3 linked regions of the Drosophila melanogaster genome follow. Changing the gene in region 3 together with the main gene of any one other region gives a genetic interaction. Each region holds a gene or a part of one and is shown on either strand. Other genes may lie near its edges.

Region 1 (3,346 bases), on a different chromosome or scaffold from region 3:
ACTAATAAAAACGTGGTTTAACTTTCTACAACAAATAGTTTATATCAAAACTAAAAATAATGTGGTTAAGATTCTATTATATGTAATACCGATTTATAATTATATTCGTTCTACAATAATTCAAGAAATTAGCTTGCATTAATATTATTATAACTAAATTATTATTATTATTATAATTATTATTATTATTATTATTTCCGGCAATATCAATCTTAATATTTTATTAAGATATATTTCAAAGCGGACTCTGTCACCGAACGCCGGAAATCAAATGAAAAACTTTTTCAAAACAAAAAAAAATCTTTAACGTTTCCTAACCAAACACATGTAAAATAATTTTCACAACCACCGATAATTTCACTGATTATTAAACAGCCTTCTAGAAAGTTCCTTTTACCGTCGGCGAAATGAAATAAAAAATGTGCTTGTTCCAAACTCAGTTTTTCGAGACATCATCTTAGGCTTTCTTCGCTTTTTGTATCTAAATCTTATAAATGGTAATCTGAAAATATTTAAGTAAATGAAAAACCAACAATTTTTTTAGTTTTTGTTTTTGTTTTATTGACTTTTTGTTTGACAAAAAATTGATGCAATTTTTAGCCAACTTCGACTCATCTTCGTTTTTTTCTGGGGTTTCTTCTTAAAAAAAACTTAGAAAAACTCGTCTTACAAAAGAACTTACAAACTATTACAGTAGTAATTCATTTAAATAGGCTTTAAGAGTAAATTATTTCTAAAAAAGTTGATTTATATCATTGAAACATTTTTGTAAAAAATTGGGGACTTTATAAAAACGTTATTTTTTCAAATTTTTCCTCCGCTTTTTTGTAGAAACAAAACCATTATCACAATCGCTTTGATGAGTAAACTAAAATTGGGTGGGTGTTGTGGCTCTGTGTCCTTGACTGCAGTAGAAATCGAGTGCCGTCGGCTGATGAGTGGTGACTGTGTTTGGGTTTTGGGTTGGCTCATGCTTATTTCCTTTGTACTCTGGATTTTGGACTGGACTATTGGTTTTCCCCGTATTTGTTAGTTACTCGAATCCTCATTGCGATGGCTTGCGATATTTGCCGGACTTTCTTCCGGTCTTCGGATGACATGAAGTGTACTGGCGCAGGGTTTCCAGGACGACGGTGGCCAGGAATCTCCACTGTGACTCCCGCAAGCGAAGGATCTGCTGCTCCTTCTGCTCCGCCTCCCGCAACAGAGTCGCCTGATCGGGTATGTAGAATGCCACTGCCATTGTTGGTTTATCTTTCTTCTCGTTCGGAATTACACAACTGGTAGTGACTCAATAACTTTCTCTTCTGCACAATGAATATTTATCGAGTTAGTTCTTTGTTGCTGGCGCACACACTTTTCTTTCGTATTTTCGAGTTCGTTCACTTTGTTCTGGTGTCTCTCTTATTCAATGATTTTTTCGAGATGCGTTCGCTGCGATGGTTGCTTTTCAACTGAATATATTGAGTAGTGCTCCGAGGCTATTTATACCTGGTTCTCTCACGCCGCCTTGTTCTCTGTTTTTCTGGTGGTGGCTGCTCATTTTGGCCTTCTTCGCTCTTCGGCTCTCTGGCTGGGGTTTTTTTGTTTTGGTATTTCTGTTGACATCGTCTCATTCGCAGCTCCCAAAAAAGTACTACTTTTCATCGTGAGCGGGGGCGGGGCCACCTTGCGCCTGTTGCCAAGCGTGTTTTTGTATGAGGTTGTGTTGTTGTTGCCAGGTTGGTGGCAGCGCCTTTGTTGTAACTGTGTGCGGCGAGAAGTACAGTTAGCATATTAATTGTATTAAATCGTCGGGGCATGACAATCGTTTCTCATCAAGGAGTTCGACAGAGAAAGACATACAAGAGTTGCTTCACGACTAAAGTTTGGAATACCCTCTAAGATTAACATTATTTACACTAGCTACCCATTAGTGATTAGCAACTAAACTAAGCCGGATACCTGATAACAGCCAAGTACAACCATCTAGCCGGTTTCATATTAATCCTTCGAATTTCATTTCTTAAATATTAAAAATATTTATTTTCATCTATGTCAATCAGCAAAAAGTCCTTTTAGCTATTACCGCCAGTATATTTTCTATAATATGATTAAATTCTTGAATTGTAATTAATAAGAAAATTCCAACTAAAAATGATGGAAAAATAAAACCAATATTTTTTAGGTTGGACACATTGATGCTATTAATAGTACAACATTTAAAGTACAAACTATTTACATAATTAAGCAGAATAGCTTCTTGTAAGGGTATTATAACAAGTGGGAGGCGGATTCACTTGAAATATGGGCAAGTGGGCAAGGAAGAGTTCCGTTCCATTTCTTGAATTATTTTCTCTCTTTTCCATGGACCAGCCCACCTGCCATATCTAGATAGATCCCTCTTTATCAGTATCTCGCGCTCTACAAGTGTTTACACAATCATCCGAAGCTTCCGACTAAGAATTATGACAATGTCATAAATTAAAGGCCATATACAGTATATTGACAACAATGGGCTCGTCCCATTATATTTCGTGTGCAATTTTATTCATTTTCATTAGAGCGGAACCAGACGGATATGATATGATACGATATGAATGTTTTCGTTGGAAATCATACACGAAAATTTCCCTGCGGCTTAAAGTATTATTAATTGCCTTCCTGATGGATATGATATCCGAACAATGTATTCTTCCAACATATAGGAAGCTTATTGAAATTATCTTTAATAATATATATTCTGCATTATTATATATAGGTCGTTTACATTTTAAATCTCAACTGAAACTTTCTCTTTAATGACGTAAATACATATTTCATCATTTTTCATCGTATCTAAGTCGGATTACCCATAAACATACTATTGTTTTGTTCTTAATTTCGTTATGATGTTTAAATAAATTTCATATATATATGTAATAGAAAATTAGCTCTTGAAACTCCACCTGCATAATTCTAAAATCTTTTACCCCACCCAAAGAACCGCGATGAGTTTTAAGTTCCATTCAAACTCCACCCACAAAGCCGTAGTACCGTAATACCGTACCCACACACAGGCAAACAGCCGAATCTTACGACGTGCGTCTCAAGTGTTTCCACTGTGATAGAGAATAGCCATCACTTTGGGGGATGTTCTGCGTCATCGTCTATAGCGACCACCTCTCCACAGCTCTGATGTCTAGGTCTATTGTTGAAGGAACTACTCTACTTTCCTCGGCCGGGCGTGCTCGTTCTCTTTCTTTCACACTGCCGTCCTAGTCGCACAGCAGAACCATTCGACTCTATAGTTATTTTTTCATGAGTCTTTTCTTTCCGGGTTCGCGTCAACACACACATACAACATATATAAATCCGGGACAGTTGG
Region 2 (4,737 bases), on a different chromosome or scaffold from region 3:
AAGTCGGTGTTCCCAGAACGTGCCCGTTACCGTTATGCGTTGCCGATCGGATCGACGAGCGCGAGAATGCACATTCCGAAGGATACGTGCGAAATGCGGGAGAAAATGCAACTGCGCAGCAGCATTGCGCATACGCCACGAGGGCCGGCTAACATTTCCGCATGCGGGAATGCAACGAAAGCGAAAAGCAAGTGGCAAAAAAAAAGAAAACAGCATAACCAAAACGAATGTGGAAACGAAACCGAAACCAAATCCGAACCGAATCGGAATCGGAATCAGAAACGTAACAATCTGAACCCATAAAAAGTCGGCCGAAAGTGTGCATTGACCGAGAGAGCGGCTAAAAATATCCGAAAAAGAACGTAACACAAACGATCTGATAAAATAAGAACGCACGATGATGACGCCCGATCCAGAACAACCGTTAAGTGCTCCACCCCAAATGATGCTGCAACAGGGTGAGCGAAAGAGAGGGCGAGCCCGATACCGAAAGAGACAGAGGCAGAGCCGAACAGAAACGACAGTGAAAGTTCTACACTTTCGCTTTTTCACAGAACCCTGCTATCATACGAAAAGCAGCAATCGTAGAGATAGAAACCTTTGGAAATACAATACATAGTACATCAGCAAATGTGCGGTAACTTTATATATTATTTCTATATAAATCTGAATGTTTAACAACAATTTCGCTGGCCTTCCATTTTTTATTCACAACATAATACAATTTTTTTTTTTTAATGAATTCATTTTTTTAGACTTTGAACGAAATGCCCCCTATATGAACATTAAACTTTACTGTTTATTGGTTTCTGCAACCAGTTTTTTAAGAATGTTATGTTATCATTTAATTTCAGGTTGAATAAAACACCATGAGGTCCATTGGAATATTATTCAATGCAAAAATTTCTTAAGCTTTCAAATGTCTTAGCTTTCCATTGCTCAACGAACCTGTCATTCTAGACTCTTTACTTATAGTAAACAGTAGTACTTTGCCACTGAAAAAGATGGTAAAGGCATTTGGATCATTTTTTAGCATGCTAAATGATGAGTGAGTCTGGTACAAAGTATGATTTAACAAATGATTACCGCATTAAAGCTAATCACTGTTGTTTTTCTCGACTTTCAATGGGAAACGCCAGTCAACAATTTCAATTTTACAGTTCTTCAAATTCTACACACAATATTTGAATGGTTTTATGGGTCTGTTCAACTTGTTTATGGATCCACATAAATAAGCAATCATATTAGAGAAGCATGCACGGCTATCAAGAAGTGCGTTGCCCTGGTTGGAAAAGCCCCGGCAACAAGGTCCAAGTTTTCACTTTCACTGCCACCATCGGCCGTCAAATCACCAGTAGCTATTACTACCTTATTACATTGCCAAGGTGCGCTGATAAGAGTGTTTTTAGACTGTTCCAGCTAACAGTATTCGCCTCGGCTTTATCAAGAGCAGCAGCAAGTCCAGCAGCATGTGACTGTGACTCAGTGAGTCCGCCGAGTCCATTTATGTTGAAATTCGTTTAAGATCGAAACGGCGGCGCCATGAAACTATAAATGCCAACTCTTCTGGTCTGACGTCCGTTCCGAGGCCCATTGATAAAAAAAAATGTATATTTCTGAATGCTCGGCGCGCCCTGCCGCTTACGCAAAACTCCTGCGAGCGGATCCCGATCCCCAAAAAGCCGAGACCGAACCCCATAACCCATACCCCATACTCCATACCCGAAACCGAAACCGAAGAATTACAAATCCCGAAATCTGCTCTCTCTCTCTCTCTCTCTCTCACCCCCATCGCCCATTCCCATTGAAAAGTGAAGAGCGGCTGTCTGAGCGGCAAACTGAGCCGATCCGAAGCGCCGATCCTCGATTTTTGAGGCGCGTATAAAAGCTTGGCTACGTCGGCAACGAAAGCTCATTGTGCGCTCGCCGCTCGTGATTATCAGGTAACGTCGATCGGACGGACGGGTTAACCATTCAGCAAGTTAGCTCTGCAGCAAGTTTGCCCGCCAAAAGAAAACACGTATACGTAGTGTTGCAGCCAGAAAGGTGATCGACGTGCCTACTGATCTATTGATCTATTGAGAATTGTGATCCTAGAACGCCACTAAAATGAGTTCAAAGGTGAGTTCGAGTTGAAGTTAAACTCTTATTTTTGTTTTTTAACTATTACACTAGCATAACTAATTCGTGTAGCTCTTTAGCATTATAGTTGGTTAGTTGCTCAGCACCAAAGCATTAAACATCAAACATTCAGTTCTCAGAATGATTTCATACACCAAATTATGCATTCCTTGAAATCATTGTACTGAACTTAAACATTTCCAGTACAAGGTGGACTTTTCCAAATTGAGTCCAGAAATTTTCCAAACAAATAACTGTCTTCTAAGAACACTCCACTTTAATTACTTAAATTAGCTTCGCGCCACAAAAAAAGTGGGTGTGTGCAATTAACAGGCTGTCAGCTAAAAATATCAATATCCAATATAAACAAATGCGCTTTTGTTCTCCGCGGGCAAGAGCATAATGCCCGCATCGATTCCGAATCGGATTCATATGGCGGACTGGAGTGCTAAACAGACTGGAGTGTCACCGCAAGGTGCGATATACGAAATGCGAAATGCAAAATGCGGAAATGCCTACCTGCGGGGCGCATTACATAATTTCCACTTCAGCTCCAGATCGCCGTAATGTCGGGGAAGTTTCGGTCATTAAAAGCGGCAATTAAAATTCACCATTTGGCCGCGTCGACTTGCAAATGCGCTCCAGTTTATGTTTCGATCTTGATGCGATATTGACCCAGTTAATGGGCGGCATACTCCGGTGCGTGGGAGTCGGCGACGTCATCCAGACATCCCGGCATCCCGACACCCGGCTGTCGTCATCCGAAGTGGTTAATCCAGATGTGTCCAGAGCGGCGATCCAGATTCACATTGAAATGCCAAAGCAGGGCAGAGTGCAGCCGGTTAGAGGATCGTTGTAACACTTATGCGATAAATTCTGAACGTCAGCGATTTATAATTAGGAGCCGGAGGCCGGTTGGGTGTTTAATTTGGAATATACTCATACTCACTTGTTGTTTCGCCCGCTCCTCCATTGCAGTTGCATATGTGCCGCTGGATGCTGCTGGTCATCGGAGTCTGTTGCCTGATGGGCAGCTCGTCGGGCAGCTTCTGCTCCCTGGAGCGGATGAAGAAGTTCGCGATGGAGGCGTGCGAGCACCTCTTTCAGGCGGACGAGGGTGCCCGCCGCGACAGAAGGTCCATCGAGTTCGCGCACCACCATCTGAATCGACTTGGATGTAAGTATCTAGATCTAGATCTTAGATTTTAGAGCATAGTGTGGCACTAGGAAAAAAAATGTTTAAAAATATTTCGGATAAATTTAAAGATCAAATTATTATAATGCTTCGTTATGACTTTACCATTTTTAAATTTTGTTTCCAACTATAATACTTACGTTTTAAAATCTCAATTAAACAATATCCACTGAACATCGATAAGGAAAAGATTAAAATATTGGATTAGCGAGCTAATAAGGTCAGAGTGTCAGTCAACCCGACAATTGCATTCGGAACTGCATATCGAAAACACGTTTTTTTTTAAGTGTGTAGATTGCAATTAATACGGCATTTGCATAAAGCAGTTCCGATGCAAAAGTTAACCGACTTCAAGGCGCAGGTTCAAGATCAATTTGCTCACTGGCAACGTTTTCCCCCTTTTCAGCCGGCAAAACGCACAACAAGCATCACTACATCAGCCGAAGCAGCTATCCAATGGGTGGCTACCTGAAGGTGACCCGGGAGCACTTCAATCGCCTCAGCGAACTGGACATCTTTCCGCGCTACAAGCCCATCAAGCCGCACCACGAAAAGAAGCATCGCTTCAAGAGGGATCACTCGAGCAGGTCCTACAACAACATTCCCTACTGCTGTCTAAACCAGTGCGAGGAGGAGTTCTTCTGCTAAGAGAGCTCCAGTGTCATGCTCCATGCCCCACGCTCCAAGTCGGTGCCATCTGGTCAGAATCTTCTGAATCCGTCCATAGTTATAGTTAGGCTATTCATGTACATTCTACAAGTCGCGCTCACTCTTATAGAGTACCTTATTTGTGCCCACTCCCAGGGACACAGATCCATTTACAGTATTTATACACTTAGATCGATTTTGAATAAACAATCGAATACGGCAACTGATCGGAATTAAAGTGTTTTTTATAAAAATTGGTGGACAGTTAAAACTAAACAAACATTCAGAGAATTTAACAGCATATTAGGTTTAGAAGACGCATATAAAGGCTTAAAAGATTATTACAATCCTAGTACAAATGAGTCACGATGGCTAACAAATCTTTGTTGTATCACAATCTATTAATCACTAAATCACTTAATAAACCGACAGCTCGAACCATGGAATCAGCTTATATGGAACTAATATAGTAGGCGCCTTTGCAAACGTTGCATTTGTACTTGCGGCAGTTTTGTTCGCCAACTGGCTCCAGTGATCGAAAGTACTTGGATACCACCATCAAAATATCCTCACGTTGTCTCTGAAGGAAATCTTCGCCGAAGTCATCAAAGGTTTTAACGCAATGCATTAGAATGCGATAGAGGACCGCTTCAGTTGATACGAACGTATTCAGCGAGCGATCAATGTAATCCACGTTCTCCTCTACGAATGTGCGGGTCATCTGCATTAGAAGCTGTACAGCCTGATCGCTGAAGTATCTGGCCATGGCCTCC
Region 3 (4,945 bases):
TATTGTTAGCATTTTTGTCAACACATGGCAATTAAACTTAATGTGCAAAGTTGACATTGATTTTTGAGAGGTTTGCTTTGTTAGCAATATGCTTTTTCGAGCGTTTAAATCAAGTACATGGACATCGAAATGATTGGCTTAAATAAATTAATGTGCTATTGCAGCTAATTTCACTTCAAAAGTTGAGCTAAGTTTTAACAATTGAATTTTCTTACTCTTGGCCTTAATTTATACCGAGACTTTTTCTGCCTGAATGCCTACAACTTTTTTTTTTGGGTAATTGTCGTAAAACGAAATGACATTCTTGTTTTGCATTTTATCATTTTTACGATTTGTTTGGGTACCATGCGTTGAGAGTCCTTCCGAAAATTGAGCAATTCAAATTACTAGATTATGGAACATAGTTCGTTAGACAAATGAGCAAATAAAACTGGAAGTGGAGCACCTTGAGGAGCTTTTAATCCGATTGCACGGATTGCGTCAGAAACATGTTCTTTGGGTTGCTGGCTCATTTATCTCATAATAACTTTACCCTTTTGCACGATTGCCATGGCACTGTGTAAATAAAGATATTTCAATGTGAATGCTTTTAATTAGACATAAGCTATAGTGCATTCGATTTGATATCTGCATTTAAAGTGAATTGAAATTAATCTTTCATTCGTTAAGCTTTAAGCCAAAATGCATTTCGTTCAAGATAATAGCCATATGATTCACATCAAGCTGCACAAATTTATTTCCTCATATCCTTTTTCACATACATACATACATATTTGTATGTGTAACTTCATTAGGAAGCACTGATTCACACACAAAAGCATTGTGCATTAGGCGAGACTTTCAATTTCATTGTGTCCATGACAAGGCCACATGTTCACACACAAATCCTGGCTCTTTCCTCTTTAAACTTCCTGCTCCGTGGCTGATTTAAACCTAAGCCAGGACAAATTGTATCTGGCAGATAAATAATTTGTCGTGATGCATGTACTCGGAATCCGAGGCGACAAAAGGGCATAAATCAAACATGTTTCGCCCATATTCCATAGATGTGGCATGGCAAATCAATACGCAAATTGGCATAAAAAATATAGCTGTGCGAATTTCTCGATATTGATACTCGTAAAACAAGATAAAAGCCTCGAACGAGGAAGCAAAACATTCAGGACCAAAGGCCCAGAAATATATATTTATACCCATACTTCCATGGATCCATCGATGGATGTGCGAAAATTGTTTTGCGCTCAAGACAAAGTTTGCGCCGTACTCGTATTTATTTTTTTATGGTCAGCCGTTTGTTGTTTTTTGCGCCCCGTTTTTTGTTTCTTGTTGCCTTATTTTTATCGTATTATACAACAAATTACTTTCAAATACTTTTGAGTATAAAATTTATGGCCATTTTGCAGTTTGGAATTTGATTTTGGTTTTTGCTTCAAGCGAAGGAACCCTTTAAGGATACGAAAGTATATATAGAAATTTACAGCAGCTCAAGTTTTAAAAGAACTTTAAGTAGTTTCACAAATTATGCGTATAATAATTGCTAAGATTTTGAACATTCTTGATTCAGAAATTATTTAGGTTTGCGAATGATGGAATTTTGAAAGGACATCACTCTAAGGACTCACCCAAACTCAAGTAGAATATCACGGCGGCCAGCAGAAGGACGACGGTCATCAGACAGAAGCCTACGGCGATGCTCCTGCCGTAGACCATGGCGATTTATCGGTTTGCTCCTGTTTTGCACGCTCGCTTATCTAATTACTTGGCCACCATGGCTGCACTGGCTCCTTGACCGAGTTCATCATTAGGAGCACTCAATTCCCACTCCGGCCACGCCCCCACAAACAACAGCAATAAGAAGAACAACAGCAGCAGGAGCTGATGCGGTGCTGACTCATTGAGTTTTTATATTATTATTTCTTATACCGCTCCGTCTTCTTGTTTTATTTTTGCGTTAATTTCTTGTCACTTCATTTGGCTAATGTTCACAGCTCGCGGAGAAGAGTTTTAAGTGCCAGGATTACACAGCTGATGAAGCGGAAGGAGGATTGGGAGCTGGAGCGGGAGTTCAAAATTAATATTTCGGATGGCAAGTGCTTTCCACTTGGTGGGGTTTCGATTTCAGCGCTGGATAAAATTGATTTGGTGTCCATAAAAAATATATGCATAAAGCGCCATTTTGACAGACGTCGGGCTTAAGTTTCACAGACGGCTTAAAGTTATTGGGGATATAAATTTATTAAAAGTATTATTTCACGCGTCTGAAAGCTGCTATAATAACTAAAATTTGTGATGCAAGAAAAAACCAAGATATAAGTTAAAAGGAAGTCATAAAGATTGGCTATACTTGTTCGCCCCGCTGAGTCTAGCAAATCGAAATGAATAATTTTAGTTGGCTCCAGTCGGAATGGTTCTATTTTTAAGCAGCCACTTGGTTCCCCAATTTATGCAAGACATTAAGCCAAACTCAAGGTTATAGGTTTGCCAAATGTACTACGAAATGGAAGTGCAATATGTGACCGGCATTAGAGGGTCCTTTTCCGAAGCATTTCTTGTCCGGCTGATTAAATTTAGCTTAATTGAGTCGGCGGCAAGGGGGGGGGGGGGTTACATCGCCCAGCGGGGGGGCTCAAGGTCAGCCGGAGACAAATCATAATTTCCGCAAAAGGTCACATTGTCTCGGCGATGCATGATCCCCAAAACAGAGAAACTGGGACTCTCATTATCGCAATCATCGCAATTGAACATCATTTGGTGTGGAAGAGGGCCATAAAAACGGAGCGCTCCTTCGTCCTTTTTGCTGGCGGGCCACTTTAACGCTCTCCCTCGACCACTTTGTCGATTGTGTCAATGCGATAGGATGCCCCCAAAAACGGACCATTCAAATGTATGCTCCTTTGCCTCTTTATTTCCTACGGGCCACTTTCACTGACCCGTTCACTGGGCGACACTTTTTGAAAATTGAAAGTAGCGCGCGCTTCGCCAGGAAGTCTGAGTCGCGAGCGAAGGATATCGACAAGGACAAAAGGACCAAACGCGTTCGAGCACAGCGGCCAACTGAAGCTGGTGGCAGCATGTGTTGCTGATTTTGTTTTTCCCTCCGCACAAGAAAAGCGGCCGAGCAGCTAGCTTCGTGTGGCACAGGACTTCGGGCTGACCGTTGATTTCATTTGCGGAAAATTCGTGGTGTTTCAAAAGACCAAAACCAAATGTAAATACAGACAGTTCGTTTCGAGAAAATCATAAAAATGTATTTATTAGCTAATTAGATGTAATGCAATTACAATTTGTTCTAAATCGTTTTTAGTTTAAATGTAATAGTAATATATAATATTCGATAAATTGCATTTCCGTTGGTGTTTTGTAGTTCACTATCATCATCAGTTTGTGTAAATATTAAATATTGCTAATTAAAAACATAATACATCAAAGCGACTTGTGGGTTGTCTTTTAATTGTACGCTAGCAATTATGTATGTACTAATGCTTGATACCTTTGCAATTGTTAATGCTTCGGTCTTTTGTTTCGATATCCGGTGGCTAAGGCTAAGCACTTTAAAAGTTAAACTTTTCAACAAAGCATTGCTAATTTGTTTTTTTAAAGCTGCGCTAATTGCTAAGTACAATAAGTTTTGTGTAATTCGAATTGTGAATTCTACAATGAATAATTCTGTAGGAGACAAATCACTAAGGGCACTACTTATTCGTTAGAAAGGCGTTTTTAAATTACGATACTCTCGAATTATTGCAACAATTAAAATTCATTGTCAAGTTAACAACTAATGGCGAATTGTAGAGATTGGAAAGGGTTTTTGTTAACACGTAGACTAGCAGCAAAAATTAACCAAAAGTATAGCACACAAAATTAAGATTAGGGCATGTGAATATGGGACTCATTAACTACTATTAAATACAAAGTACAGTGCGGAATGTAGAGTAATAAAACGATTGTGATTTCAAATTTGTAACATATATCATTGCATTGAGAGATCCATAGAGTGTGATTGGAATGTAAACATACTAAAACAACAATCAAGCACGTTAATTATTGTAAATATTTTTAGAATATTGTTTAAAATTGTGATATTCATAAGGAATCCATTTCGTTTCAACTCCATTATGCATTCAAGATATGTTGATCAATTTGTTCCCAAAAACATTATTTTGTTGGAGGAGAAATACGTTTAGAAAAATAGTTCTGGGTATGTGTGACTTAAACCCACACACCATGAGGATTTTTACTGGTTGGAACCGCCGTTTCAAGTTGCCTGGGCGAACCGATGATCCGCCGGCTGCTGCCCTGCTTGTTGGGTCCTTCCAATAGATGCTTGATCTCCTCCGTGGTGGTCACAGTCAGGCTCTGCAAATTCACCTCCTTCATCTCGTTGACCAGCTGCTCCACCTGCCGCTTCTTGTCCGCGATGGCATGCTCGATCATGAGTAGTTCCTTCTTTAAACTATCTGCAGTTTTGTTTGAAGTGTCAGTGTTGTGCAGAGCCTGGTCGATTTCACTCTGAATGCGCTCCATTTCCATCAAGAAGTCTCGCTCCACAGTTTGCCTGAAACAACCAAGAAGTGTGAAAAACTTAAAACAAAGCAAGTAAATTGCTATGCACTCACCTATTGGTCTGCTGTTGATGTTGCTGCTCCAGCTCAATGTCATCCATCAGCAAGCGCATTTTGTTCTTGCATTGTAGCAGCTCTGTTTCGCAATTGGCCAGCTTGGATCGCAGTAGAGCTATTTCTGATTTCAAAGTCTTCTCTTGCTGCTTGACCAATTCGTTTTCCTCTTCCACATACTGCAGAGTCTGGAGCTGTTCGCTTCCTTGCCGAAAGATTTGATCCGCCTTGGAAATCTCACGCGAAATAGCATCCAACTCGTGGGCGTGGTCGCGTTCTTTGCTCTCCAAATAAACTATTTCCGTATCGAACTAAGCAGATAAAACAAA

Evidence for each region. Genes that interact genetically often act in the same process or in processes that back each other up.
Region 1: of Lgr3 (region 3) and rpr, changing one suppresses a phenotype caused by changing the other (phenotypic suppression), as found in Drosophila melanogaster (one study listed by BioGRID).
Region 2: of Lgr3 (region 3) and Ilp8, changing one suppresses a phenotype caused by changing the other (phenotypic suppression), as found in Drosophila melanogaster (4 studies listed by BioGRID).

The regions. Positions count from the first base shown.
Region 1 is NT_037436.4:18,396,993-18,400,338, forward strand, and holds rpr (reaper), read right to left. Parts: upstream 1,444-3,346; 5' UTR 1,244-1,443; coding exon 1,046-1,243; 3' UTR 543-1,045; downstream 1-542. UniProt on the Drosophila melanogaster protein: Activator of apoptosis, as well as grim and hid, that acts on the effector Dredd.
Region 2 is NT_037436.4:17,029,270-17,034,006, reverse strand, and holds Ilp8 (Insulin-like peptide 8), read left to right. Parts: upstream 1-1,926; 5' UTR 1,927-2,109; coding exon 2,110-2,121; intron 2,122-3,099; coding exon 3,100-3,298; intron 3,299-3,722; coding exon 3,723-3,964; 3' UTR 3,965-4,195; downstream 4,196-4,737. Other genes in the region: CG7730 (uncharacterized protein), read right to left, coding at 4,416-4,737.
Region 3 is NT_033777.3:25,663,920-25,668,864, reverse strand, and holds the start of Lgr3 (Leucine-rich repeat-containing G protein-coupled receptor 3), read right to left. Parts: upstream 3,057-4,945; 5' UTR 2,876-3,056; intron 2,053-2,875; 5' UTR 1,711-2,052; coding exon 1,623-1,710; intron 1-1,622. Other genes in the region: RASSF8 (Ras association domain family member 8), read right to left, coding at 4,210-4,555, 4,617-4,927.